4 linked regions of the Saccharomyces cerevisiae S288C genome follow. The gene in region 1 interacts genetically with each later gene. Each region holds a gene or a part of one and is shown on either strand. Other genes may lie near its edges.

Region 1 (7,084 bases):
ATCCAGGAAGAACTTTTAAATAGAGGCCAGAGAGCGGCTTACATCAGACATCTTTTCTCGAACTTACTTCATCTTCTCAATATCGAGAGGGCCCATTGGCGGGTAATAATACGCATAAGAGTGATCTAATCCAAGTAGTACCTCCTTAGCGCTTTTTTTATTATCACTATAGGTCATTTGGCTATTAGAGCGAACAGCAGAATTTGTCCTTGGTTTTCAGAGTTTGAAAATGCTATTTGGTATTAAACTGGCTAACGACGTATATCCTCCCTGGAAGGATTCATATATCGACTATGAAAGGTTGAAGAAATTACTAAAGGAAAGCGTCATACATGATGGCCGTAGTTCCGTGGATAGTTGGTCCGAAAGGAATGAATCTGATTTTGTGGAGGCCTTGGATAAAGAACTAGAAAAGGTTTACACATTTCAAATTTCCAAATATAATGCTGTCTTGCGAAAATTAGATGATTTAGAGGAAAACACTAAATCAGCTGAAAAAATCCAAAAAATAAATTCTGAGCAGTTCAAAAACACCTTAGAAGAATGTCTAGATGAGGCTCAAAGATTGGATAACTTTGACAGGTTAAATTTTACTGGGTTTATCAAGATTGTGAAGAAACACGATAAATTACATCCAAACTATCCTTCTGTAAAGTCTCTTTTACAAGTCAGATTGAAAGAACTTCCTTTCAACAATTCAGAAGAGTATTCTCCCTTGTTGTATAGGATCTCATATCTGTACGAGTTCTTGAGATCAAATTATGATCATCCAAATACGGTGTCTAAATCATTAGCAAGTACTTCTAAATTATCACATTTTTCTAACCTTGAAGACGCAAGTTTTAAAAGCTACAAGTTTTGGGTTCATGATGATAATATAATGGAGGTTAAGGCTAGAATCTTAAGGCATCTACCTGCTTTGGTTTATGCGTCGGTTCCAAATGAAAATGACGATTTCGTCGATAATCTAGAATCAGATGTCCGCGTACAACCTGAAGCGCGCTTGAATATTGGTTCAAAGAGTAACAGCCTTTCTAGTGATGGTAATAGCAACCAAGATGTTGAAATTGGAAAATCAAAGAGCGTTATTTTCCCACAGTCATATGATCCAACAATCACTACATTATATTTCGACAACGATTTTTTTGATTTGTACAATAACAGATTGTTGAAAATCAGCGGTGCACCTACGCTGAGATTAAGATGGATCGGTAAACTGCTAGACAAACCTGACATATTTTTGGAAAAGAGAACTTTTACAGAAAATACCGAAACTGGTAATTCAAGTTTTGAAGAAATCAGATTGCAAATGAAAGCCAAATTCATCAACAATTTTATTTTTAAAAATGATCCCAGTTACAAAAACTATTTAATTAATCAACTAAGAGAAAGGGGTACTCAAAAGGAGGAACTGGAAAAACTTTCTAGAGACTTTGATAACATCCAAAACTTTATTGTTGAGGAGAAGTTGCAGCCAGTTTTGAGAGCTACCTATAATAGAACTGCTTTCCAAATTCCTGGAGATCAAAGTATTAGAGTCACTATCGATTCCAATATCATGTACATTAGAGAGGATTCTTTGGACAAAAATAGGCCCATTAGGAACCCTGAGAATTGGCACCGTGACGATATTGATTCCAATATTCCCAACCCATTGAGGTTTTTAAGAGCAGGAGAATATTCGAAGTTCCCCTATTCTGTAATGGAGATTAAGGTTATAAACCAAGATAATTCTCAAATGCCTAATTATGAGTGGATTAAAGATTTAACTAATTCACATTTAGTTAACGAAGTTCCAAAATTTTCTTTGTACTTGCAAGGTGTGGCTTCACTGTTTGGTGAAGACGATAAATATGTCAACATTTTGCCATTCTGGTTGCCCGATTTAGAAACCGACATCAGAAAGAACCCTCAGGAGGCTTACGAAGAAGAGAAGAAAACTTTACAAAAACAAAAGAGCATTCATGATAAACTTGATAATATGAGAAGGTTATCCAAAATCTCTGTACCAGATGGAAAGACCACTGAAAGACAAGGGCAAAAAGATCAGAATACTCGCCACGTTATTGCAGATTTAGAAGATCACGAATCATCAGATGAAGAAGGTACTGCATTGCCCAAGAAATCTGCAGTCAAAAAAGGGAAGAAATTCAAAACGAATGCAGCTTTCTTGAAAATTCTTGCTGGAAAAAATATTTCAGAAAATGGAAATGATCCATACTCCGACGATACAGACAGTGCCTCTTCTTTCCAATTACCTCCGGGAGTTAAAAAACCAGTTCACCTTTTGAAAAATGCCGGTCCTGTCAAAGTTGAGGCAAAAGTTTGGCTCGCCAATGAACGTACATTCAATAGATGGTTAAGTGTAACCACATTGCTGAGTGTATTGACCTTTTCTATCTATAATTCAGTGCAAAAAGCCGAATTTCCACAACTAGCTGATCTGTTGGCCTATGTATATTTCTTTTTGACTTTGTTTTGCGGAGTATGGGCTTATAGAACCTACTTAAAAAGATTAACTCTTATTAAAGGTAGAAGTGGTAAGCATTTGGATGCACCTGTGGGACCTATTTTGGTTGCAGTTGTATTAATCGTTACCTTGGTTGTTAACTTTAGTGTGGCTTTTAAAGAGGCCGCTAGGAGGGAAAGAGGATTAGTAAACGTTTCCTCCCAGCCTTCGTTACCCCGTACACTAAAACCAATTCAAGATTTTATCTTCAATTTGGTTGGGGAATAAGAACATGTATATTTTTTATATACACATATATTACACAAGTACCAGTTACTATCATAATTAATTAATTGTTCTCTATTTATACATATTTGCTCTTCCGTATTAAATCATATTAAACAGCTTTCAGCAGGTGCCGGCGCCGCCTCTTTTTATTTTCAAAATTCAAAATGCACATAATGAGAAGATGTGTGTGATAGTTAAACCCAGATCAAAAAATAGCTGAAACGTTCGTTTCAGCTCCGCAAATCTATATTGCTAATTAAAATTATTCATCAATATCTACTTCTGTTTCAGTTTTTTTCCTCTTCTTCCTCTGACCTTTGGATATCATAATAATGTCAGTTGAAGTAGATAAGCACCGGAACACACTACAGTATCATAAAAAGAACCCTTACTCCCCTTTATTCTCCCCAATTTCTACATATAGGTGTTATCCTCGGGTATTGAACAATCCCTCCGAGTCTAGAAGATCAGCCAGTTTTAGTGGTATTTATAAAAAAAGAACCAATACGTCAAGATTCAATTATTTAAACGACCGCCGTGTTTTATCAATGGAAGAATCAATGAAAGATGGGTCAGATAGAGCTAGTAAAGCTGGTTTTATAGGAGGCATAAGAGAAACTCTTTGGAACTCAGGTAAGTACTTATGGCACACATTTGTGAAAAACGAACCTCGCAATTTTGATGGTTCTGAAGTAGAAGCAAGTGGTAACAGCGACGTTGAGAGCAGAAGTTCTGGAAGTAGGAGCAGTGACGTACCATATGGTCTACGTGAAAATTATTCCTCGGATACAAGAAAACACAAATTCGATACGTCGACGTGGGCCTTACCAAATAAAAGGAGAAGAATCGAAAGTGAAGGTGTGGGGACACCTTCAACCTCACCAATCAGCTCTTTGGCTTCTCAAAAAAGCAATTGTGATAGTGACAATAGCATAACTTTTTCGAGAGATCCTTTTGGTTGGAATAAGTGGAAAACAAGTGCTATTGGTTCTAACTCAGAAAATAACACTTCTGATCAGAAAAATAGCTACGACAGGCGACAGTATGGGACAGCCTTTATTAGAAAGAAAAAAGTTGCAAAACAGAACATTAACAATACTAAACTGGTGTCGAGAGCACAATCTGAGGAAGTAACATATTTACGACAAATATTCAACGGAGAATATAAAGTTCCAAAAATATTAAAAGAAGAAAGAGAAAGACAGTTAAAATTAATGGATATGGATAAGGAAAAAGACACTGGCTTAAAAAAGTCTATAATCGACTTAACTGAAAAGATCAAAACAATTTTAATTGAGAACAACAAGAACAGACTACAGACAAGAAATGAAAATGATGATGATTTAGTATTTGTTAAAGAAAAAAAGATATCTTCTTTGGAAAGGAAACATAAGGATTACTTAAATCAAAAGTTGAAGTTTGATAGATCTATATTAGAGTTTGAGAAAGACTTCAAAAGATATAACGAAATTTTAAATGAAAGAAAGAAGATTCAAGAAGATCTTAAAAAAAAGAAAGAACAATTGGCCAAGAAGAAACTTGTTCCTGAATTAAATGAAAAAGACGATGACCAAGTACAAAAAGCTTTGGCATCTAGAGAAAATACTCAGTTAATGAATAGAGATAATATAGAGATAACAGTACGTGATTTTAAGACCTTGGCACCACGAAGATGGCTAAATGACACTATCATTGAGTTTTTTATGAAATACATTGAAAAATCTACCCCTAATACAGTGGCGTTTAATTCATTTTTCTATACCAATTTATCAGAAAGGGGTTATCAAGGCGTCCGGAGGTGGATGAAGAGAAAGAAGACACAAATTGATAAACTTGATAAAATCTTTACACCAATAAATTTGAACCAATCCCACTGGGCGTTGGGCATAATTGATTTAAAAAAGAAAACTATAGGTTACGTAGATTCATTATCGAATGGTCCAAATGCTATGAGTTTCGCTATACTGACTGACTTGCAAAAATATGTTATGGAGGAAAGTAAGCATACAATAGGAGAAGACTTTGATTTGATTCATTTAGATTGTCCGCAGCAACCAAATGGCTACGACTGTGGAATATATGTTTGTATGAATACTCTCTATGGAAGTGCAGATGCGCCATTGGATTTTGATTATAAAGATGCGATTAGGATGAGAAGATTTATTGCCCATTTGATTTTAACCGACGCTTTAAAATAGTTATTCTTTTATAATATACAATTATTATACATAAGTAGAAATATTCAGATCATTGGATATGGAATAAAGTTCAATAAACCACTTGAAAATAAATCATAAGAATAGCATAAGCACCAGCTCAATTTAGATGTCTGTACAAAAAGTAATATATTTTAGAGATGAGCAGGCAGAACCACACATTAGTGACGATTGTCTTCGACCTTATGTGGAATCTTAAGCTTTAACATATAAGTAAAAATTTTTATTTTCAACAAAAGATTAGAACGAAATGAAATTCCTTAATTGAACCTTCTCTTGGATATCAATCTATTGGCAATCATTCCTAGAGAATATATTATTGAGTGAAAACTGTAGATACGTGCTAAGCGGTAAAGCCCTTATGAACATCGTCACACTATCTCTATATTGAGCCTCCGTAAATTTCGAATCATTTGAAATTCATTTTTCCTGGTAGGAAGATACTTGATAGTGGAGGATAAGTAAAGTAAATTGTGGTTATCATTTATTTGGTGGTAAAGTACCTTTTTTATGTTTTTTTTGAAGATGGAAATTCAGGCATTTTAAAAAAATAGAAAGCTCGAAATATCTCAAAAAACATAAAAATAGAGGAAGAATCCGCTGAATATACCATCTTTACAAACTACTTAACTATTTATTTTTAAATATAAAATTTTTAGTACCATCATCGGAGGATTGTTGCGATCGTATTTTTTTCTCCATTTTTTTCCTATATGCTATGCCACATCGACTACATAGCTCAACATTTCCATTAGGTCCACTTCTCCACTGAGAAGTCCAGGTGTCACCACAAGTGGCGCACTCTTTTGGTTGACCGTTGGGGAGTATAGTTTGTTTCTTCCTACTTTTAGGTCTATATCCTGCTAAAGATTTCTTTCCATTGGATGATATTGGTAGTGATGAAAAAGATGGGGCTGGTAGAATAGAGGGGTTATGCAAAGGCCCACCAAGACGACTTTCTTCCTTCAATTTTGGACTCAGCGCACTATTTAAGCTTTTGATCTTCTGTTCAAGAATATCTGCTCTTTTTAAATCTGGCGTGACACCAGATTTCGGGATACTGGCTACTGAACAGCAATAATTGGGATTAGCGGCAATGAACAGAACCATTTGTACAAAACGATCGAAGTGGAATTTCGTTCTACGACCAGAGCTACTAGCGCCGCTTGTTCCCTGCTCTTTGTTATATAACATAATATGATTTAAAAGTTCTATCACTCAGCACTACAACGCAGTATTTTTATTCTAGATGACCAGTATAGCAAATATTGTTACCCTTGAGATATTGGTAATTTAACCAAATCTCAAGTCATAAATGCCTCCCTTTTAAGTTTACATAGGCAGTGGACAGATTGGTACATCATATTAAAGGAAATAATGAACGCTAAAAAGAATGCCTTTTACTGACACATTCACTTTTAATACGAAAACGGATTTTGTGGTATATGACGTTGAGCACTGCGTGGTTTTCTGTGAATCCGCCGTGCCTAAAATGGACCCTTAATTATTTAACAATAGACCGGCCCGAATAATGTTAACATGAAGGGAAAAGTGCACATAACTGCAAACTACTTTGGTAGGTTGATTATCAGAGCTAAGCCATCCTACAGGTAATGATTTCCAAATTTTTTCTTAAGTAAAAAAGTTCAGAAAATAGAAGAAATATAAAATTTAAAAGGAATTACTGTTTACGAGACACATCGTTCATTCTTGGATAAATATACAAATCTACTTAAGAAAAAGCTTTCCTTATTTGTTGTTTCCTACTTTGTACCATTTGGTTTATTATATATCGTTGTGGAAAAGAAACTTGGTCTCTTGAATCTTAGTCGCAAAAGAAAATTTTTACCCACATAGGTAATGGAAAAGAGACAAAATTATTTCTGGACCTTATTCAAGAGGATGAATTTGAAGCATTTATTAATAATGAATATGATTGTGCGCTTCTAAGAAAAACTCACGGGTAATTTGGCTTAAAATGATTCACTAATGCCACGCTCAGATTCCACCAAATACGGTTAAAAAATCAAAAATAAATGAACTTCATTTGGTCATTTTTACTGCTAAAAAGTGGAAGATGAATTGCGGATGATATGAAAAATTTGAGTGAATAAACTATGAACGCGAAAAA
Region 2 (7,066 bases), on another chromosome or scaffold:
CAACGCTCACCATTTTAACTACTGTGGACAACGTTTGATACAGTTGAATGTCAATATTTGTCTCCACTACATTAGCACTACTGTTCGCGGCACCACCACCATTCATCGGTGGTGGGGTTATATTAACATTCGAGACGTTATTACTATTTGATGCGTTAATTATTGAAGAAGTCATAACCGGATGCTGTTTAGGTTCATGCGCCTGTGACTCTTTTTTCGAATCGCTGATGGATTTATTGTGCTGAAGCAGCTGTTGCCTTGGAATAGTATCGCTAGTAGTTTTTACTTCATTCATGTTCGTTTGAGAACTTCCATTGCTTATTGCATTTTGGTGTCCCAAAATTGGACCATGGGTGTGTGCACCATTTAGATTTGGTGATAAAAGAGGAACAGCAGTGGTATCACCCGTCAGAATATTACTATTTGAAAGCAATGCAGATGCAGATGGTGTTCTTGTGCTCCTTGTTTTCGGCAGTAATTTTATGTTTCCGCTACAATGTGTACTGGTCGTACTTGCTGCGGGTCCTCCACCGCTTGTGATACTACTGGACGATGTCTCGTGCCTCGAAAAAGAATGTTTCTTGGGTGCCTTACTTGCAGAACCGGACACTTGATCATCTTCTTTGATAAAAGACCATGCATTATACATTTCCATATAAGCACACATTAATGTCATATAAAACATCCTTATGAAGCATAGATCGTCTTCTTTGAAAAAAATCTCAAAATTTTTTCTCAACAATGTTATAATTTGTTTAAAATTTGTGATGATAGTGAGGCACAGCTTGATTAACGCCTGATCATGCGATTCGTCTTCGTTCTCTGTTTGCTGCAAGACCTCCACCAGATTATCAGTATGTGATCTGACAGAGTATAATAATGATACTACATTAACCGCTACGGCCTTCTCTTTACAGAAAGAGGCGATTTTTCTGATAGCTTGTTGGCATTCTGTAAAACTAAATAGGAGCTTCCGACAGGAAACAACCAACTCTGCATGCGATATTTTTTGATGCCCGTTACTCATTGACTCTTCTGGTAAAATCGACAACCTCTTGAAGTAGTCATTATATTTGGTGTGATTGTATAGTTCCGTACCATTCACTGCCCCACTTTGTTCTGATTCTGCATTGACTGTACCACTGAAAGATGTTGCAGAGGTTTGATTAGATGAGACCATTGCAGTAGATGCACTTATAGTTGTATTTGCACTTGGGGCAAGTGAAATTATATTGTTTTCATTCATTGCTCCATTAGACAAGTTCGTATTTATGAATCCCATTCTTTTCGCTGCTCTAGATATTTTAGGTTCTGGAGTAGGTAGGTTAGGATGATCTTTTAGATATCGTGATATCGCAATTGCCCAATATTCTTCTTTGGGGATGCCCGTATGAAATGGAGTATAACTCTGTACTTGGTCAAGCTCTTCTTTGGGTATTTTATTATCCTCTAAATCCAAGATGCTCAGCTTGTTTAATTTTGTGATCGATTTCAAATTACGTATGCTAGTAACGTTGTTGTCTTTCAATGATAATACACGAATATTATCTTGCCAAAACGATGATATTTCATCTGGCAATGCTTCAATCTCATTGGAGGACAGATCCAAGATCTCTAATTGAGGGCATTGTGTCAAAATATATGGGATTTCTTTAAAATTGTTATTATGCAAATCCAGATATTGCAGCCTTGATAACCTCTTGAAACTCGCTGGTAAGGATGTTAAGTGATTTTTCCTTAAAGACAGTCTTTCAACATTTTGGATATATCCCACATCTTCATCTGATATGGACTTGATATTAAGAGCTATTAATTTTAGTGTAGTACCACTAGAGCTGGATTTCTCTTGTGTTGCCAACTCAGATATTATAGTGTTGCTTGAATTAGTGGATGTTTTGTCAGCAGGCAAATGTTCCTCCTTCGGATCCAACGTCCTCTTTGAAGATGTCGCTACCATACGTTACGGATACTTATAGACTTAACTCCCCCCAATAAGTTCAGGTGAAAAGTAGCATGGAGTTTTGGCATTAACTTTATTTGCCCACTTATATTTAGAGATCTTGAAATACTTTTTGTTACCCGACTTGTAGCTTCATTTTTTCATTTTTTTTTTTTTTTTTTATTTTTATTTTGTATTGTTCTTTGAAAGAATCATGCATGGAAGCAATAACTATTATACGGAAGTTATATACAAGAAATCATTATATAGTTACAGCATCATATGTGCAGAAAATTGGTTCTGAGCTTTTCTTATTGTCTTCTTATGACAAGTGTATTAAGTCAACTTTTCTGGAACAGTAATTCCATCACATTCTTTTAAAATTTGAATATCCTTAGGGTTGGGACGAAAACCCTCATTAGTGCCTAAATCTCGCATAAACTGGTTAATAAAAGCAACCTCTTTGTCAGATAACTGCTGAGTATTGCGTGCAAATGTGGCCAAGTTGAATAGAATTTTCGAAACGGCCAAGTTCGACACCCTGATACTTGAATCCTTAGCTAGATTGTAGTACTTTTCGATGTAGGGAACGTACTCGCTATGTTTACTCTTGTAAAGTTTATCACAGAACCCCAATAATAAAGCATTTAGAGGCGTATTATCCACGTTTCTCTTTCTAGTCTTTTGATATGAGAGAAAATCAGAAAACAAATTCTTTGCCTCGGCCACTGTGCCGTCAGGCTTATTAAACTCTGCGGAAATAAAGTCTGCATAATTCCTAGCATTTAAGTGAGTTCCCAATTGTTTGTAAAGTTGACGAATCGGCTCGACAGTGGGGCACACTGAAATAAAGGCTTTCGTAATCTTTTCAACCTTTTCATAATCGGTGGGATTAATGGAAACACTTTGCAATAGATCGAATTGTGGGCGTGTATCTTCTGCCTGAAATTTATAATTAGCGTACATTTTAATGCTTAGAGTATCCAAAGTAGGGGGTAACACACCATCTGATGGATAATGGTTATAGTAAAATGTGTTGAATTGTTCTTCGCTCACTTTTTCATCATCTAACATTAGCAATAAAACTTTATTGAACAACTTCTTGGTTTTAACAGTCTCTGCTAACTCCCCTTTGACTTGGTCATACTTTAGAGGCGAAGTTTGACATAAGGCCAGGAGAAATGCTTCCTTCACGATGGGATCTTTCTTGAACTTTTTAGGAAGTTCTTCTTCCCAAAATTCCTTTAAATGGTTGAAATTTCCAGAATCAGTTAGTGCGTTAACTAGCGTCGCATAAGATGTGTTTTTAATATTATCTCCTGGTTTGATAACACTGTTCCAGACTGCTAGAATTCTGTCCAACTTCTCTTTACTCGATTTAGCTCGTAAGTGCGACACAGCTCTTAAAAGACAATCTTTCAGCGACGTACTATTTGGGAAAACCTTGCTATACTGGTTATAAATAGTAACAACTTGGTCGGGTTTATCCAAATCAATAAACTTGTCCATGAACTTGCTTATGATCTCTACATTTTTCTCACCTTCAAGTTTATTGTATTGGCCATAAAGATCCCTTAAATCTATCCATCTAGGAGCATTTTCAATTTGACTTAAGAAATGATCACTATCCTGTACTGTGTATTGATAGTACAAAGTGTTTAGATTTTTGATAATCACGTCTCTTCTTTCAAGAGAGCTAAATTCTGTACTTAACATTCTTCTAATCATGTTAAAAGGTAAAACCTGGCCCATTTTACGATCGATCTGTAAAATCTTATACAGAATATTGATATCCACAGTATTCTCTGGTAAAGATAAGTAAGCAATGGTGGTAATTGCAATATTTTGCATATGTGCACGAGAAGAACTATTTTGAAGTAAGATCACTGGGTTTTCGGAAATGGTTTCCAAGTACTTCACCCATAAGGCAATAACGTCCTGTGGTGATTGATTATATAGAAGGTACTTTAAAACAATCGTGAAATGTTGTGAGCGTGCCAATTTGTATTGGCACAATGTGTTTAATACTTGATAAGGATCTAGCGTCATATTTTTGCTTCTGTAACTTAATTCCTGTAGGAGATCCGAAGAAAAATTCGCTAACAAGTGTGATCTTTCCATAGGTGAAGGGTTCCTTAATTTCTGTTTCAACGATTCAATCTTATCTTTAAAGTCATTAAAAACTTCATTGATATCTGAATCTGGAGCTTTCAACTCGTTCTTCAAATCAGCAGCCAAATTTTGTACCCTTTCAAACGGTGAGACGTGCTTTTCTCTATTTCCTGAATGTCCATCATCTGTTTCTTGTAAGTGAACGCTGCTTTGTTGGTATATCGATGTTGAAGAGGTTAGACATCTTCGTGAAATAATCACCTTTGAACAATCAAAGGCCCTTAAAGCATTATGGGAAAGCATCTGTATCCCAGTGGAAGGCTCTGATATTATTTTGTGCAGAGCCAACTTAAGCAAACATATAGACAGTACGTCCTTAGTTAGACATGTGTAGCAATTGAACGATTCCACAGGCGGTATGTATATCGTATATGATGATATTACATTTTACTTACCCCGCTTTTTCCCTCTTATAATCGATTAATTACTTAGTCGACGAGCAACCTTTTATGGCATATTTGAAAGGTAATACAATGTTCCAACTTCGTTTTTTATTCACAGATCAATTAACGTATTGGCACACCTGATATTTCCTCAATAGTAAGTAGTTTTGGTGATGTAACTTTGACACTACCTTCGACCGAATATTCACTTATAAAACTTATATATTACTTGCTTTTACTTCTAACTTGTCTGGAGAGTTCAATCTTTGTTTTCAGCTCTATATACCGGTTTTCTGCATCGGCGGCTAAATGGTATTCTTTTCCGCTTGGCTCTACACAATGTTTATTAAGCTGAGCGTCGGTGTTTCCGATTTGGACCGTTTGACTTTCTTTTTGGACTGGTTTTCTTTTTTAGTACGAGGTGTACGGACAAAAGATACTAACGGACAAAACGCGGTTGCAACTGAAATTTTTTTTTCACTATTTTCGTAGGGCACATTGGTGTAAATATATATATATATACTCAAGGTTCATCTCGTTTTTTTTAATATTCTTGTTCCTTACTCTTGATCATACGTAGAATGTATGTCTTTATCCTGAAAGTAAAGAAAGGATTATACAATGCTGAAATGTTAGTACTAAATATGAGCATACAATCACTTGTTGTTCACTAGTTCAACGAGTTTCATTCATATTCAACTCACGCAAGGGATTATGGAAGAAGAATCCTTTTTATGAAAGGGAAAAAAAACCGAAATACTATGTTAACTGCTTCCAACGCTCTATACTAATGCGCATGAAGATTTTACTTGCGAATCAAACTGATTCGCACGCAATATCTAAGTCTGCTATACCTACCTTACATCTCGCCGTATGTTATGGGTGCAAGGGTGTTTTTTTTTTTTTATATTTTTTTTGTTTGGGGTTTTCGATACTTTGTGAAGGAACGACGCAGAAAAAAACGAAAATCATACGCCCGATGAAATTTTTGATAAGAAAATTTTCTGAAAACCCATGCGATGAGAAGTCAAAAATTTTTCTTCTTCTCCTTTTCTTGTACTTTTATCCCGGCTAGTTCTTTTTCTAAAATTTTCATATTCCAGTCCAATATTTTACTTCATTTTTTTTTTCTGTTCTCGCTTGGCTTGATTTAATTTTTTACGTAGGTTTTTTTTACACGATATTGTTTGTATTATCAGTATTCCCTTCAAGCTCCCCTTTTTTTTATCAATTAAGGTTCTTGGTAATTTCTATTTCTGAAAAACCAAAAACAAAAAGTCATTGATTGACTATTTGACTCAAATTACCAAAATCATAACTTTTCTTTTCAGCATTCCATTATTGAAGGCTTTAAAATAATAGTTTCTTTTTTCCTATTATTTTATTTTTTCCTTTACATTGGAATACATTTTATTTTGAGTTTTAATTTTTTTTATTTTCTATTCCATTGTTTTTTATTTGCTTTGGACTGCCCTTTTCGTAATAATTTCCCTTTTTACCCTATTTTAGTCACTTCTGTGTCAGCAAGCGGGATTATATAAAGAAACGTTAGCAGAAACAATATCAGCAAAATAGAAAATAAACGGGCAATCAATCAATAACTACAGAAATATTGGGAGGTTTTAACTAATTTTTCCAGGATATTTCAACTTTTCATAAATCAAATTTTTTTTACTTTTTTTTTTGCTTTGCTATAGTATTTTAGAAAAGGACAAAAAAATACGAAAAAAGACAAAAAACCATATAAAAAAATTGATTAGAAGAACTTATAATGGCATTGGCAAATTCCAGACCTTTGCAAATACCAACTTTAGAGAATGAAATTCTTCATAACTCAAATTCTCCAGTATTTCAGTTGAATTCAATGGGATTTACAACTAGAGCTGACACTATTTCGAATCCAGGCACGGATCTTATCGGCAACCAGCCAGGCATGGCCCTTGATGATAATAATTTGGCCGGTTCTTCGTTTTCCTCATCTCAGGAAATAAAAGCTACCAAACCTAAGAAGGACTTTGGTGCTCCCAAAAAAGACAATCCATTATTAGAAATTTCTAAGCTAATACCTGTTACTGGTGAGAGGCCAAAACCCGAAAATAGAGACTCCCCTCTGGATGATGACGTTCTTCACGCAGTTTTTTTAATATTATGGGAAATGGATCCGAATCAACAAGGCATGACCGTCAAACAACTGTGTGACTTGCTTTTGCAAAAACATCCAGATATGTCCAATTTATCAACCAAGTTGTCAAATTTAATTTCCGCAAAACTGAACGCTTATGTTAAAAAAATTGAAAAAGGTGAGAAAACGTTAACTTATGCTTTATCAAGGGAATGGTCTAATTCATCTCCTAGAAGGATGCTCTATATATACAGAGGCATATTATCTCCCGATTACAAGGAGCATGCTCAAGCTGTTACGATGCAACTTAAACAACAATTGGAGACCTCCGGTGATACAAGCGACTTTAATTCAAATGGCAAGAAAAAAAGGGAGTCCAGCAGTAACCAGCTAGTTAACAATGACAGTTATTCAAGTTCTATGACGGACATGAAAAATATGTCTTCTAAC
Region 3 (8,953 bases), on another chromosome or scaffold:
TTGTTCACCACTTCTACCGCTATAGGTGTTTTTGGCTTGATTCCAAATTCATTCACTTGGAACTTAATAGGTATAGTACTTCTGGTAGTGTACAGACCATTTTATTACACAGTTGTTTCTGATTATTCTTCAAAAGTTTTTGGATTTGACACATTTGGTACTGTTTATGGGTTATTGTCCTGCATTTGTGGTATTTTCAACATGAGTCAAAACTTACTGGACAAATGGACACATACTACTTTCAACATGAATCCATTCCCAATAAACCTTACACTGGTAATCCTCACAGTCGTTTTTTCACTAACTTTAACATTTTACATACGATCTCAGATTTTGCCCAAGCCCGTGAATGAAAGAGGATTGTCCTCCAACTACCAAACTATCTGAGTGCACACTTTCAAGCTAACACGCACTTTATTTATATTTAAATGACATAAAGTTATATATCTAGAAAGTTTATTTATCGTTCTCAGTACCATCCTCATCCTAGTATGTATAGCTTGTACCCATTAAAAGAATTTTATCATGCCGCCGAAAGGAACAATTTCAAGTACTATCGGAAGATGAATGGTTAGATGTTAAGCGCTGTCACTTCAAACTTCACATTTATAAAGATGTCACATGGACCACTATTATCTACCTTAAGTTATTTATCAAGATAAGTTTCCGGATCTTTTTCTTTCCTAACACCCCAGTCAGCCTGAGTTACATCCAGCCATTGAACCTTAGAAAATCTTTTGTCATTAGCGGTTTGAGCCCTAAGATCAACATCTTGCTTAGTAATCACTGCAATGGCGTCATAACCACCAGCACCAGGTATTAAGCAAGTAAGAACTCCTTTTAAGGTCTGGCAATCATCCAATAAGCTAGTTTGTACGGGAGGTTCGATATCGGCACCAGATTCTTTAGTTATTTTTCTAAAGGAACGTCTAATTGTGGCAACTGCATCTCTAACTTCTGTGATTTCAGGATACTTTTGACAGGTACAGTCATTCCTCTCAAGAGACTCAAATATCTGATCGCTGTAATCGTCATGAGTCTCGTGTAAGCGATCTAGTTTAGATAGTCCATCCATAAATCTAGAATTTGCATGATCGAGTTCTGTATATATTTTCAAGCTTTCTGGCATATGCGAATCATACCAATTTTTTACCTTCTGGACCAGTTTTACTGTTTCTGAACCATTCTTAATATCGCCCATCCATAAAGTTAATCCCGAAGGTAAATGGTTACTTTTAATCGTAATATTCCAGTCTTCTTCATCAACCAAATGCGCCAGTTTACTGCCGTAAGTAGCACTTCCAATATCTGGCAAATTAGAGATTAATGCGGGTGGGAATCTTCTATATCTGATAGATCCATATGCTGCCGCCGCTACATCAAACCCGCTTCCAATTTTACCCTGAGCTTGACAATGAGCAACTTGTGCTAAATTATGAATAACTTCTCTATATTTGTCTACATTATTTTCCAGGTCCGATACAAAAAAGGAGGCCAAAGCTGTAGTTAAAACTGTGACTAAACCTGCCGAGGAGCCCAGCCCTGTTTTGGGAACTTCTTCAATTCTGTGCGAATGAAAACTCAATCTTCTGTTGCCACGATGTTCGGTAACGCTATCCTCCTGAGAATGGTAGGCATCATCAGAGAAAATATCAATAACGAACAAGTTTCTATTGCAGTAGTCGTCCATGTTAGGTTTAAAGTAGCTAAATACGTTAGCGATAACTTTTTCAATGAAAGGGTTCTTAGATCCGCCTATCGAAACAGGAATGAAGCCACTTTTAGGACTTATATGGTACAGCCACTCCCCATCTTTAAATTGTTTACTTTTCACACGCACTTCAAACTTATCAGACCCTTGCAATGAACCGTAAGGATGGGCTACAGCATGCATTCTTGCCGATAATCCGACTACAAATGCTTCATATTTTGTATCTAAAACTAAATATCCACCAGCTAGTAACGCTTTCCCTGGGGCACTGAAGGCTCTCAACTCTGACATTTCTCGAGGCAGCCGATTGATTTATTATGAGGCCTTCCAAGATGTTTTTTCACCTTTTTTGTTTTTCCATTCTTTATATAATCTTTCTTTCCATTCGACATGACGTTAACTCCGCCTTAAAACCGAACTTTTTTCCTTTTAGATCTCGTATAGAAAAACGCATCGCAATAATTATTACTATCTACATATTCCTGTATACAATTTGATTATTTGTCAACACTTGGATGCGTATTCTGTCCACGGCTTTTTGGCTCGTGCCCCCTACGCCTTTTAGTATTTGATGCGGCAGAACTGCCTTCTGTGATTTTTCTTTTCCGTCTTCTGCTGTTGTAGTTTCTTTTACGGCTTTTCTTTTTTGCTTTAGTTTTGTCCTTTTCGCGGTTTGTTTCCTCATCATTATTATTTTCTGGAGAACTTTTATCATTGATTAGTTCCATACTTGGTTTCTGTTCTTCAAGTACAGATTTTGAAGGCATTTCCTCCTGTTCTTCTTTAACTTCTACTTTAACAGGTATATCCACTGCTTGATGTTCGGGCTCCTCACCTTCATTTACTTTGATGTTAATGGAATTATCGTGTGGCTCATTATCAACATCGTGGCTAGATAAATGTTCTGATCTATCATCCAAAACGGATGTTACATTGGTTTTATCGTGTTTCTCAAGCGTGGTGGCGGGAATTTCATCATTAATTTCCATAGGGACTTCATTTGGCGTGTCTGAGAATATTTCATACACTTCCGGTGATGTTGGCGCACTCTTTTCAGCGGTAATATTTTCCGAATTTGAATAGGGATAAGAATCTGTCACTTCTTCCTTATCAGACGGAGGATCAGATGGAAGATCTGTGGACGGTATATTTCCGCGTTGCCTTTCATCATCATTCATTTTACTAGAAGCTGCTGTCTCTGTAGGGCCCTCTATTTCCAATTCGTACAACTCAGCTTCTTCTGGCTCTGAATTTAGTTCTTCTATTGACCTCTCCTGATTGTTTGATAGGTCCAGGTCTTCTTCATGTTCGGGGTGTTGAATGCTAATATCTAACTCCGAAAAAGTGTCTTCTTCAATTGCTCCAGCATATTTCTCATTAACGGACTTTTCAAACGTGAGATCCCGTTCACGGCTTGTATTAACTTCGTCTGATTCTTCTTGATTTTTTCCTCTCCTGGAATCTTCAATGAGCCTCTGAGAATAATTCTCTAGGTCACTTAGATTCTTTAGGAGTTGTTGTCTCTTAATATCATCGGGGGCATTACTGTGAATATTTGCTGATGTTATATCTCCATATATGGTATCAAATTCTTCTTCATTCTCGCTGTGGTCTTTCTTTTCGAAATGTTGCTCGGATTGTAAACCTTCAACTAGCGGCTCTTCCGACTTATGCAAATTTTCCTTGTCCTTTACTTGCTGTCGAAACACTTCGGAGTCCTCTTCATAAGCACCGTTTGTCGTGGGATCGATGTTTATCACACGAGAATTATTACCATTGTCATTATGTGCTTCTGCGGTAACTCCTCCGAGTATGACAGCTTCATCTTCATCGCTGTCTCTCTCTTTGCTACTTACACTTTTCATATTAACAGATGCATCGGTAGAATTCGACTTGTTAAAAATGTCTTGATTATAATCACCAATATCAACGTTATCATCACTCTCAGAATCCATAACATCAATTTTTTTCACGAATGATTCAGCTACGTCGACTACCTTACCCACTCCCTTAACTACAGCTCCAATAACACGAATTGGGGATGAAAAAATATTTGATCGATCAGATTCTGGCTTCAATGGTTCCACAGACTCAATTTCCGAACTGGACACCCGAATGTCCAAATTATGTTTTGCAGATCCCTCAACATTTTTTTCAGCTGTGGAGTCTTGGTCTCGGTCTGAATCAGAGCAAGCTTGGCTAACCTGATCATGCATATTGGTATTATTTTCCAGGGCTTTTGTGTTTTCAATGGTAGTTGCTCTTCTTTCAAAGAGCACTTCGTTGTGCGTTTTTTCCACGCACGACCTTTCTGGGATCTCCATATTATTTCCAATCGCATTCTCATCTATTCTTTCGATAATGGAAATGTGTGCTTCCTCCGTATCTGTATTCTGGATATAGTATTTTCTTTCACCAGCTTCGTAATTCGCTTGCGCCTCTTGATTGATGACGTCGGTGTGCATGTCTTTGTTCTGAACATTTACGGATGAACTGACATTGGCTTCGAAAAGTGTTTCTTCTTCGTGCACCTTATTAACTTTTTCATTTTCTGGTTCTACTATTCCGAGAGTATCCTTTTTTGTACCTTTAACTATATTTTCATTACTGCCTTCATCATTGCCTGGTTCTGGATCCGCATAATCTTGTTCATATGAATCCTCACTTTCCTCTTCATCAAGCTTATCAACTACTTCAGCTTTTGTAAGTTCCTTCTTGAGTGATTCGTCGTCTTCAAGATCACTATTTCTTACTTTATATTTAGTAGAAGAGAATTCAGTGTTGTCGTTGCTTTCTTGAAAATTGTCTGGCGAATCTGTTGAAAACGAAATTTGAGTTTTACTACCATCATCATTCTGTTTTACGCATTCATCGCCAGAAGACATCTCAGCTTCGTTCATATCCTTTTCACAGTATCTTAAATTTTCTTCTACATTTGAAGCCGTTTCAATTATGTCCTCGCAGGAAGAGTCTCCTGTAACGTTGGTATAATTAATCGCTGAAAAGTACTTTTCATCCGTGTTATCTTCAGTTGACTTGTCAGTACTGTTAGCCACGCCTGGAAAATTTTTACTTTGATTTTTATTTTCATCACCTGTATTTTCATTTTCAAAAGTAACGTTTTCCGTAGATTCATCCAAATCGCTCACCTGTTTAGTTTCCTTACTTGTGTGAAAAATGTTTGTGTGCCCAGATGTAGATGTCAAGCATGATTTCGTCACTCCAGCTTCCACAAATTCTGCATCCTTTTTGGTGAAAGCTGGGGCAAGGGCTGCTAACGTTGATTTCAGTAGGTCATGCTTCTTTTCGTAATCATCGTTCAACGAATTGAATGGGTCATTCATAAATGGTGAAGTGTACTCCACTTGCGGTGGCATGGCAACTGTGTTATCTTCGTAAGAAGTAGAACTATACACAGATTCAGAAATTACTACTTCATATTTCGGAGTTGTTTTGATTTCCATAAGAGGAACATCGGTAAGATTCTCTGATATAGCATCAGCGTCATCGAGTGAATAATAGATACTGTCTTCATTTCCTAATGATGAATTGTTAATCGTAGTATCTGTGGATAGTGGTACCAGTTCTTTTTCTGTAGAACCGTCCAGTTTCTTTTCAGAAACTTTTTCAACCTCTATTTCAACAGAAGATGAAAGATCACCTCGGTCTGTTTTTAAATTATTATTGTTTTCACCTGTGAAGTCCTTTAGGGGTATTTGCTCTTCGGATTCGTCTAAAGACCTGCCCGATAAGTTGCTTCCATTTGAGTGCCCTAAATAAGATTCGGATACCTGCTCCTCTTTTTGAGGGCAGTTCGAATTTCTACTTTGTTGGAATTGAAGCATAGCCCTTGCGGCGAGATCATACAAATTATCAGGGGAATGCTCGTGCAAATCACTTTCGACACTTTTTCCTGTTACGTCATAACCTTCAACATCGTTAATTTGATTTTCTCTTTCTACTATAGCAGGATCAGTTTCATTCTCCAAAACATTTTCCGAGTATTCACTTTTGTTGTTGTTTCCGTGAAAATTTTTGTCTAGAGAGCTTCTGATAATGTCATCTTTTTCAGGTTCTTCGTCATTTTCCTGTTGTTCCACTTTGTTCTTAGTATAAGCATCTTTAGCGAAACCTTGGTCTCTGCTTTCGCTGGTATTCTCAGTTTCTTCTGACGTGCTTTTTTCGTTTTTCATTTTATATTCAAAATCATCTTCACTTCCTTGTTCGCTTTCTTGTGCACTTTGGGATTCACTATCTGAAGATTCTATATCTTCTATTAGTTCCTTATCATCCAGTTCATGTTCATTATGGTGGTACACATTTTCAGCATTTGCTGAGTAACTTTCAGCTTGACTTTCTTCATCCTCGGACTCATCGTCAACTGAAATATTTACTGAACCGAAATCAAATGCACCGTCTTCTGAATATCTTTGATGGACTTTGTGCTCATCAGATTCATATTTTTCGATAACGGGGATCTTAGTATTATCTGTTCTAGGCTGCATGTATTTTGAAAAATCTACCGAATGTTCTGTTCCTTCTGCACCCTGACTTTCATCTTTTTCAGCATCGCTTTCCACATCAATGTCGTCTTCTAATTCCATTTCTACTCCCTCTGAATAATTCTGTCCTTCACTGGAATCAGAAGAACTAATTTGTGTAGCATTCTCTACATTTGCCTGTTCTTGCCCTATATTCTTTCTCTCAACTTGCCCCTCCTCTTCGGCATATTCATCATTCGATACATCTTGTAGTGCTCCTTCCTCTGCATATTCTTCATCTGATAATATCATTATTGAAGGACTACTTTGGCCGTCACTATTCTTTTCTTCTTCAGAGAGCTCGTATTCATCATTTTCAAGATCGAAATCTTTGATTAAAGATTGTTTACCTTCCAGATCTTCATCCTTATCGGAGTCGATATTTGAGGACGACTCGTCCTCAGCGTCCGGTAAGGGAGAACTTATGAAACTATCTAAGGGAATTTCATCATTATTTTGGAAAGAAGTATCCGTTCCGTATTGGCTCTTCCTGAGATCGATTAGTCGCTGATGAGATTTACTGTTTCCTGTGTACTTGTTCATTAAAGAGTCATGAAGCTGAAAACGTTGTCTTTCCTCCTCAAGACTACGCTCAAACAAGGCATCTTCCTTTTCTAGTGTAGTAAGTATACTTTTCCCCCTATTAATTAGAGAATCTACCCAGCTTAATGCCCTCGCACTATCTTCATGAAGGGATTTATTATGAATATGACTGCTTCGCCTGGAGGAAATAGATTCATGTAAAGTCGAGTGCTGAGTAGGCTTTGCTACTCTGTATTTATCATTGTGGACCCTTGAGTACCCATGTTGATCTTTCATTTTGGAATCCTCGTCCGCGTCAAGGAGAGATGACAGTATTTTCAGTTTTCTTCTTGGGGTCGTCAGTTTAAGTTTATTTGCCCTTGGAGTAAAGGTTTCTTTTTTTTTTGACATATTTTCACAGTATAGATTTATTGGTTCTTGTACTTAACCCCTTGGTGAATTTACAACGTGTTCAATATACTTGTCAATAGGACTAAAGACTTTCTCGCATTTTAAATTCCTTTGTTTTCACTTCTTAAGAACAGCTCGCGGAACATGAAAATGGTGAAAAGTGCAAGTTAGAAGTTTTGAAAGAAAGTGAGCATAAAAGCAATAAAAATAGCCAGTGAACTTGCTTTTACATGCTAATATAGTAGATGGATAAAGAAATATATTGTGGATCGGTTCCTGTCAGCTATTTTGACCCGTTTGATTTATTTGAGAGTCTGAGGCCAGAGTTTCAGCAGATTTTACCGTTAGACAATATACATTGGAAGGCATTTGACGGAACTGTACGAACGGTTAACAGGCTTCCAATTGAATTGATTCCAGAAGGTAGAGGGGAGGCAGACAAGTCTAATGATGAACAGCCGTTTATCAGATTTTTGATAGTGAACTGTATCTCTATCGACCAATACAGGGCCAAAGTACGGCCTCTTGTGAGACAGTGGCTACCAAATCTGGAATCTGTATCTTCATCGACAGGAGAAAAAATGATTTATAAACCAATTATTTTACTGTATGCCAATTCTGAAGTAGTGGACTCTAACCTATTCAAATCGGTATCCCTAATGGAGAAATTTGGCAAAGACTTTCCGCATGTACAAACTTTGGAAGTTCGATCGGTTTATAGATCTCCCAAAGAAAGGCAGGAGTTTTGGAACCAATTTAGCCAAAAGATTAAGGCTTCCGTACTGAGCATCTTTCAAAAACGATTGACACATTTGCAACATTCGTTGGCCAATTTACAAAAAGGAAATAACTTTGAGGAACAGCTTTTGACAAGAGAAAAATTGTACGAGTTATATGTGGTATTCAATATTTTGGAAGATGCCAGCCTGGAATTGCAAAAAATCAAAAAAGAAATACTCCGTAGAAACATGAATATGCCGGATGGAAAACTTCAGGTACCTTTTGAATCATCTTCTAAATCAGATGAATCACTGGGCTCCATAATAATAGAAGGTACACTCGATAAGTTTCAATTGCATAAGTATTTTTTCATTAGAAGGTTAAGACTTCTAAAACTAGAGGACCAGACGTTGACCGCCTTTGTAGGAGCATTTCAACTAATCAAGAATTTTATTGAATCCATATCAATAGAGTATAGAAAGTCTGTGAGATTATTGGAATTTAAGCACTATTTTATAACTTCGATGCTGTCATATTTTGAATTTGAGAATGTCTCAAATCCTCTCTTGTGTGAAATCAAAGCTGAGTTATTAATGTTGAAGCGCGACAACTGGGTGCAAGGTGTTATGGCTACAAGTGGTTATAGACTAATGGACAAAAACTACCCTAATAGTGACGTTAAATACAAATTTGATCTATTAAAAGAAACTTTTGTCGATGAAACTGTCTTCCAAGAAAACTTCCTTACTCTCACCAAAGAAATTCTTTCTCTCTTCAACAAATGTGAAGGGAAGCGTCAAAGGATAGTAGATATTTTATCCATTGAGATAGGTTTGCTTTACTATCAGGGAAAGAAATATGAGGAGGCAGTCTCGCTTTTCCTTTCCTGTTACGAATATTATACTCAAACGAACTGGAATAGCATTGGTTTGAAAATATTGCAAGTTTTCATTGATTCCTTGAGCCACTGCCCCAAATTAGACGTCTTACAGATTGATGGGGAATCAGTTTCTGCATCGGCCGTTTTAACTAATGCATTTCTCAATAT
Region 4 (7,605 bases), on another chromosome or scaffold:
GTATATACTTTTCCAAAAAAAAATCAAACACTGTTTGAGCGTCAAGAAACCCCAGGCGGTGCCCGACGATAATGCGACTGCATTATCTCCTACGCTTGTTGTCGTTTGCCTTTCTTTGGTTTATTCTTCGTTCATTTTTGGTCAAATATCTGAACTTTTTTACTCTTGGCTTCTTCTTTTGTTTCTCATCCACGCCCAGAAACTTCGCGTATTTGGTGGCTCTATTTATGCTTTGTTTGAGTACTTTTTCTGCCTTTTCTAATTTGACATTATTTAGCTGGGCTAAATATTCAAAGTTATCATTGGGTTCCAATGTCTCCAATTCAACAGTAGTTGAGTCATCGTATATTTCCGTGATTGCTCCTTTCTTCAAAATAGGCTTTACGCTACTTTCATTATTGTCGTTATCGCCGTCATCTTTATCAGAATCAAACCCGTGCCAGGATTCATCAGATTCTACCTGCAAATCCTCCGTCTTATCATTTTTCGCATCCTCTATCTCAGCTTCCAAGTTTAAACTCTCTTTAAACGTCTTTAACTGTTCTTCCATCACCTCCTTACGTTCCTGCCGAATCTTCTGTCTTTCTTCAATTTTTCTAAGCCTTTCCTGCTCCTTAATAAACTCTTGTGCTTTCTTTTGTCTTTGAAGCTTTCTCTTGTGAAAGCCAGTCAGATAATCCAAACGAGAATCCTTGTCGAACGTCACCTCATCGGTACCGAATTTCTTTGATTGCTTTGTAGCATAGTTTTTGCCTCTTGTAAGGATTTGCCTATTGGTGTGAACAGCCATAGCAAAAATCGAAAACCTTTAATTCACCCCTCTTGATTCGAGCAGCTACCAGGAACTTGAATATTGCAACTCTCTATTTTTTATCTGCTATTATCTGCTGCTTTGCAGAATCGATCCTCATCACATTTGAAAAATTTCAAATGTGAAAAGTCCCTACTTACCCGTTCGCGGCTCATGAAATCGTGTCCTCTTCAATATAAGACAAGAGTATCAAACAAAGGATATAAGGCAAAATACAACAAATTACCAGTGAATTCCGCATTTCCAAGTCAAATCAAAAACTATTTTCGAGGAAATAATGGCAGGCCCAAGGAATGTGCGTACATTACATGGAAATGGAGGCCGTAATAATGATGTGATGGGCCCAAAAGAATTCTGGTTAAATATCCCCCCAATAACAAGAACTTTATTTACTCTAGCGATCGTTATGACGATCGTCGGCCGGTTGAATCTAATCAATCCGTGGTACTTTATTTATGTTTGGAATTTGACGTTCAAGAAGGTTCAGATATGGAGACTTCTTACTTCTTGTGTAATGCTTTCGTCTCGTGCCATGCCTGCGCTAATGGAACTATATAGTATTTATGACAGGTCCTCACAGTTGGAGCGAGGGCATTTTGGTCCCGGTTTGTCCAATAGACGAGGACCGATGGTAACAGTAGACTATGCCTACTACCTGTGCTTTTGTATACTAGCCATCACTACGGCCACTACAATCATTTATGGGTCCTACTACCCTGTTGTGCTCACCTCTGGGTTCATATCATGCATTACATATACTTGGTCGATCGACAATGCCAACGTGCAGATCATGTTTTATGGTTTGATTCCTGTTTGGGGGAAGTACTTCCCCTTAATTCAATTGTTTATCTCTTTCGTTTTTAATGAGGGTGATTTCGTAATCTCATTGATCGGTTTTACTACAGGGTACCTTTATACATGCTTAGATACCCATACACTGGGGCCAATATGGGGGATGATATCCAGAAAAGCTGATCCAACCTACGGAATCTCGCCCAATGGGAAATTCTCAACGCCATGGTGGTTTACTAGTCTATATGCTCGCATAACGGGTGCCCACAATGAAACTGCAACATTCAACAACAACTTTGCCAATGTGCCATCTTCGCAAAGAGAAACGAGAACTTTTAGTGGAAGAGGTCAACGATTGGGTACGGCCCCTGCAACATTGTCTCAAACCAGTGGCACAGATTCAGGCAGAGCTTCTGGAAGTCAATTAAGAAGTGGCCCATCGAATTTGAACCAATTTCAAGGCCGCGGCCAACGAGTAGGACAAACAAACAGCCCCTCCGACTCACAATAACAACTTTTATCTATTTCTATGTACTTTGCCATTCATTATATACATCAAGAGAGTCTGACATAGTATTTTCGTTGGCATAGCAACCGATTGATAATGAAACATCACTCAAGACGAATTGACAAATGGGCCACTATGGTAAAACAATTCTTTACATGATACCACCAGTATATAGAAAGGTTCTCGTGTTGATGAATTATATAAGAAAGTGAAAATCGATTTCAAGATAATTACTCTTTTTACCTCCTCTTTCATTGTGGTCACCGTTTTTGAACACAACATGCACCAAGATTTTCAAGAAGACGAGCATGAGTATCCAGACATCAGACGCAATCCGCTGCATGAGGTGACCATGACTTCCTACATACTGGGGATTCTTTTAGGTATATTTGTTGGTCTTTTTCCACAAATTAGATTCAAGAATTTTAACCTCTTTATTATTGCCCTGTCCTTATTCCATTTTTTGGAGTATTATATTACAGCTAAATACAATCCTCTTAAGGTACATTCAGAGTCCTTTCTTCTGAACAACGGCAAAAGTTACATGGCGGCACATTCCTTTGCTATTCTGGAATGCCTCGTAGAAAGCTTTCTTTTTCCTGATCTGAAAATTTTTAGCTACTCTCTAGCTACCAAGCTTTGTACAGTACTTGGATGTCTTCTAGTTATTCTGGGACAATATACCAGAACTATTGCTATGCATACTGCGGGACATTCCTTTTCTCATATTGTGAAGACCAAGAAGGAGTCCGATCATGTTTTAGTGAAAACTGGCGTTTACTCCTGGTCAAGACATCCAAGTTATCTTGGGTTCTTTTGGTGGGCAATTGGCACTCAGCTACTGCTTCTAAATCCCCTATCATTGGTTATTTTCATTTTTGTACTTTGGAAATTTTTCAGTGATAGAATTCGTGTGGAAGAAAAATATTTGATAGAGTTCTTTAGCGCGGAATACATAGAATACAAGAATAAGGTTGGTGTCGGAATACCTTTTATATAATAGTAATGATTGTGTTAGTTATGGACTGGATTTTTGTGTTATGTAAGATTTTATCTAATCTTGTGCATCTGTATTTGGTAGGTAATAAATGCTAGGGGAATGCAAACAGTGATATTGCCTTTGAGTATTGAAAAGAAGAAAATATTTCTTTTTCGAACGGAAAATTATAGAAAATGAAGGTCATATGCACAATTACAAAGAAAATATTTCATGAAAGAGCTGGACGGAACCGTCCAATTTTAGCCTCGTTTTTAACCACTGTTGTATTTCTTTCCATAATCTTGCGTTTTCCATGTACCCATTATGGGTGAAGTTGAGGATGTATTAGAAAGTTGTCTTTTTTGGGGCAGTACATTAGAGTAAGGCCTCCTTGGAATGAATGGATTTACAATGAGTCTGGACTTCTGCAACGGTATGGTTGCAGTGTTGGGAGGATTGGGGACACTGTTTTCATTGTTTATCAAAGGAAGCCCAGACTTGTTAGAGTTTGTACGAATTGGGACGTTCTGGGGCAACGTGGGAAGTACAGGCGTAGAATTTTGTCGCCCGACGTCATTCCTCGTGATTGCTTCTGTTGTTGGTAGAGAGTTATTCCTTTGATCAAGCCCATTATTCGACAAAATAGTTGCCCCACGCAATGTTGAATCAGGGAATCTTGTGGTATTCAAACGTGGATCATTAAATCTTGAGTTCACGGTGGAAGGAAAGGACATATCCATATTCTGTTCACGTGGTGGAAAAACTGAAGATTCTTGAGGCTGGACAAATGAATCTGATATCGATGCAGTATAACTGTTGGAATTTATGGGAGGCCTTATTGTTTTATCGGGAACAGTGGATCCCCTGGGATCTAATGAACTCATTCTTATTAAGGGAGGGGTACTGAGAGCGCTCGAACTTGCATTTGAAGCGGTGTTTCTTGGCGTTGGGGATGATACGCTAACATCTGGAGAGATTAAGTGGGATGAATTATCAACAGCAGTCACATTTAAAGGCGTTTTTCCCAGAATGTTCGGCAATTGTTTACCAATATAACTGGAACTGTTTCCGAGGTACTCAGGAATAACCCTGTTTGTCACCGGAGTAGTAGTTTCTGAAGCAACTATGTTATAACTTTTTGGATCCAGGGTTCTCGAGGGTGCACTTGAACCTTTTTCAGTTAGAATATCTGTATTAGTACTTTTAAGGTGATTGCTAGTTATTTCCGCCATAAGTCGATCATCATCATCGTCATCATTATCGTTCATTAAATTTTTAGTATGATTATGACTGGGAGTATTACTGCGACTACCATGATCATGTTTATTATTACTATTACTATCATTATTTTCGATACTATTATTATTATCATTATTATTATTATTGTTATTATTATTATTATTATTATTTTTATTATGACTATCATTATTTTTGATACTATTATTATTGTTATCATTACTATGCCTGTTGCTATCATCATGATTATTAGTAACATGAGGATTATTTCCATTTGGTTCGTCATCATCACTATCGAGATTTATGATAATCGGTTCACTTGGATGTGAAGAAGAACAATGATGATCCGATACTGAAGTACCTTTTTCTGGGCTTCTACTACCATCATTGCTGTCACTGTCGCTGTCATCATCGTCTTCCAATATGGCTGTCCACTTACCATCAGAAGTAAGTTCTACCTGTTCAACGTTTTTTTGACAGTTCTGTAAAATGTCATCAACAAATTCGGAAATTGCTAAATTTTCCAAAGCTATATCAATTTGACATACTGGGCATTGCCACGTAGGAATTTGTAGTTGGGAGTGTAGGAACCATAATGCATCAAAACATTGCAGATGCTTACAATTTATTGATTTTGAAGGGTATTTCATTCTTGTGTACGAAATTGGACATTGCAGACTCATGATAGTAGATGTGGTAGTCAAGCCCATTTCTTCATCCTCCCGAAGTGTTTTTTTCAAGTAAAGTAACGTGGCTTGTTTAATAATTTTTGGATGCTGTAATACTTTTTCCAGGAGTTGCTCCGGAGTGATCATTTCTACAATGTACCCAAATAGCTTGTATTCCTTCGTGGTGAAGGCATATATCAGCTCCACATTGTTTTGTTGAGTATAAGGTTTGAGATGAGGCGTTAAATCCGCCGGCTTAGCTGTGCCCGGCTTACTCTTGAAACCTCTTATATTATCTTTGATTTGAACATTATTGCACCTTAATTCATTTGGGAATGGAAATTGGATGGGTTCATTACCTCGGGATCCTAATGGATTAATCATCCCAGAAAATAAGTATAGCCTGTGTTTGCTATTCGGGTTACTTAATAGATTATAGTCTGCTTTGGACAATTTAAATTTCGCAGAGCACATACCTCTTCCGCCTGTGACTTCCACGTTCATCACTAATTCAGGGATTAGCCTTTGTATTTTGTAAAATGGAGACTCTTTAAAATGAATTGTCGGTACAGCAAAAGATGATGAAGAAGAAGAGGCATCTGGATTTGTAGGTGGTGGTGCACGAGATGTGGAAGATGTGGTAGACGTTTTCCGCCGTTGAGTGGGAGACTGCCTAATAACGGAAGGTGATTGCTGCTGCACCGTGGGAGGCCCCTCCATAGAACGTACTGTGATAGCACTCAATGGGGTACCCTTTCTTAAAGCGTTCCAAAGATCTTTATAAACAGGCAAAGGTTCATTCTTTCTGATCCGTTCTATCAGAAATTTAACGGCTTGAACTCTATAAGGATCAGACTTGCCTACTACTAAAGCGTTCTGCAAGAAATTCCTGATAAGGTCCTGTAGAACGGCCTTGCGACCGGAAACCGGGAAAGATACAGACCTGCAAATATCCTTCAATTCGGACACTTTCAGCAGTTCCATCAGAGTGATGGTTTCCTCCACCTCGTTTCTTAGTTCATTAGTCGGTTCCCTATCAGGCCCAGGCGTTTCATCTTCCCAGTAATCCTCTAAATTTATCATTGAAACAGAATGTATATGGAACACTCAACTGTTTGAGTTGGAGTCTTCTTTTCTTGTGAAATATGGATGAACTCCACTTCATTCTTTCATATTCATATTAAAGATGATACACTTTTCAACTTACTATCTGGTGCGGTGAATGGGTGTATACATTGACTACAGCTCAGGTGACATCTAGGGGCCGTTTAGTGTAAGAATATAAAGTACAATCCAAAAAGGAAAATTATACTTGTTTAAGAAAAGAGGAACCTTCTGCTCGCTCTAAAATGGTAGTTCTAGTGATAGTTTAAAAATGCATTTTCCTTCCGACTTCGAAGATAGATTTCAGCATAAAGACTAAAAGCGTCAGCAAGGATTCGAATGAGTGACTCGTTGCTAGTGACTCTGACCTGTTTTTTATTCCAGCAAGAGGAAAGTTATATAGAGTAGTTTATGAAGAGAAGACACTTCTAAAGTTGAATAACGCTCCTAGCCTCAAGGTTGATGATTTAACTTGCAGCAAGCGCAGGTGAGAGCCAACACACATCAATAATCTTTCCAAAAGCTATGGCCAGAATTGTCGTATTAATTTCGGGCTCAGGTTCCAACTTGCAAGCCTTGATCGATGCCCAAAAGCAGGGCCAATTAGGCGAGGATGCTCATATTGTCTCTGTCATATCTTCCAGCAAGAAGGCATACGGGTTAACTAGGGCAGCGGACAATAATATCCCCACAAAGGTTTGTTCGCTATACCCATATACAAAGGGTATTGCGAAGGAGGACAAAGCCGCAAGGGCCAAGGCAAGATCCCAGTTTGAGAACGACCTCGCAAAACTAGTGCTCGAGGAAAAGCCTGACGTTATCATCTGCGCGGGCTGGTTATTGATCCTTGGATCTACTTTCTTGAGCCAACTGCAATCTGTGCCGATATTAAATCTGCATCCAGCGCTACCAGGTTGTTTCGATGGTACCACACACGCAATTGAAATGGCATGGCGCAAATGTCAGGACGAGAACAAGCCTCTGACGGCCGGATGCATGGTGCACTATGTCATCGAGGAGGTCGACAAGGGTGAGCCATTGGTGGTAAAAAAGCTAGAAATCATACCTGGCGAAGAAACACTAGAGCAGTACGAGCAAAGGGTACACGATGCTGAGCACATCGCGATTGTAGAAGCTACATATAAGGTTTTACAGCAGCTTCACAAATAAGAATAGTTCCCATATTTATACTTTTATATTTGGCATTCTTCAAAGTGAGGCGCGAAACATCTCGCGTCGTAAATCATGATCATGGATTGTGACAAAACGATCTTAAAGGTTTCGAATAAAATGTGTGTAAATACGTATACTTATATATGAATGTGCATGTGTAAACGCTTAATCGTGTTATTGCAAAACTAAAATCAGGCCAGATTGTAGTTTAAACGGTTCTAGTATAACTGGTTTAAGGTGCGGCTCACAACCTGTTACAGGGAGACAAAAACCATGAATATTCTTAAGCATTTCCCAAGCTATGTTGGCCCATCTAAGATTAGGACCTTAGTGA

Evidence for each region.
Region 2: mutations in ULP1 (region 1) and MSC6 together harm fitness more than expected from each alone (negative genetic interaction), as found in Saccharomyces cerevisiae (2 studies listed by BioGRID).
Region 3: mutations in ULP1 (region 1) and ESC1 impair growth when combined (synthetic growth defect), as found in Saccharomyces cerevisiae (one study listed by BioGRID).
Region 4: of ULP1 (region 1) and SIZ1, a mutation in one rescues a mutant of the other (synthetic rescue), as found in Saccharomyces cerevisiae (one study listed by BioGRID).

The regions. Positions count from the first base shown.
Region 1 is NC_001148.4:510,164-517,247, reverse strand, and holds ULP1 (SUMO protease ULP1), read left to right. Parts: upstream 1-3,069; coding exon 3,070-4,935; downstream 4,936-7,084. Other genes in the region: VTC3 (vacuolar transporter chaperone), read left to right, coding at 230-2,737; ECM23 (Ecm23p), read right to left, coding at 5,584-6,147. UniProt on the Saccharomyces cerevisiae protein: Protease that catalyzes two essential functions in the SUMO pathway: processing of full-length SMT3 to its mature form and deconjugation of SMT3 from targeted proteins. Has an essential role in the G2/M phase of the cell cycle.
Region 2 is NC_001147.6:998,872-1,005,937, forward strand, and holds MSC6 (Msc6p), read right to left. Parts: upstream 4,355-7,066; coding exon 2,276-4,354; downstream 1-2,275. Other genes in the region: SOG2 (Sog2p), read right to left, coding at 1-1,957; GDS1 (Gds1p), read left to right, coding at 6,266-7,066. UniProt on the Saccharomyces cerevisiae protein: May be involved in the control of meiotic sister-chromatid recombination.
Region 3 is NC_001145.3:705,365-714,317, reverse strand, and holds ESC1 (Esc1p), read right to left. Parts: upstream 7,186-8,953; coding exon 2,209-7,185; downstream 1-2,208. Other genes in the region: FMP42 (Fmp42p), read left to right, coding at 1-387; ERG8 (phosphomevalonate kinase), read right to left, coding at 647-2,002; transport protein particle complex II subunit TRS130, read left to right, coding at 7,431-8,953. UniProt on the Saccharomyces cerevisiae protein: Involved in the clustering of telomeres at the nuclear periphery, forming discrete subcompartments that accumulate a complex of histone-binding silencing factors like SIR4. Required for SIR4-mediated anchoring and partitioning of plasmids.
Region 4 is NC_001136.10:1,287,878-1,295,482, reverse strand, and holds SIZ1 (SUMO ligase SIZ1), read right to left. Parts: upstream 6,078-7,605; coding exon 3,363-6,077; downstream 1-3,362. Other genes in the region: rRNA-processing protein RRP17, read right to left, coding at 83-790; DFM1 (Dfm1p), read left to right, coding at 1,089-2,114; STE14 (protein-S-isoprenylcysteine carboxyl O-methyltransferase), read left to right, coding at 2,392-3,111; ADE8 (phosphoribosylglycinamide formyltransferase), read left to right, coding at 6,624-7,268; TRAPPII-specific subunit TRS120, read left to right, coding at 7,545-7,605. UniProt on the Saccharomyces cerevisiae protein: Acts as an E3 ligase mediating SUMO/Smt3 attachment to septins and PCNA. May be involved in chromosome maintenance.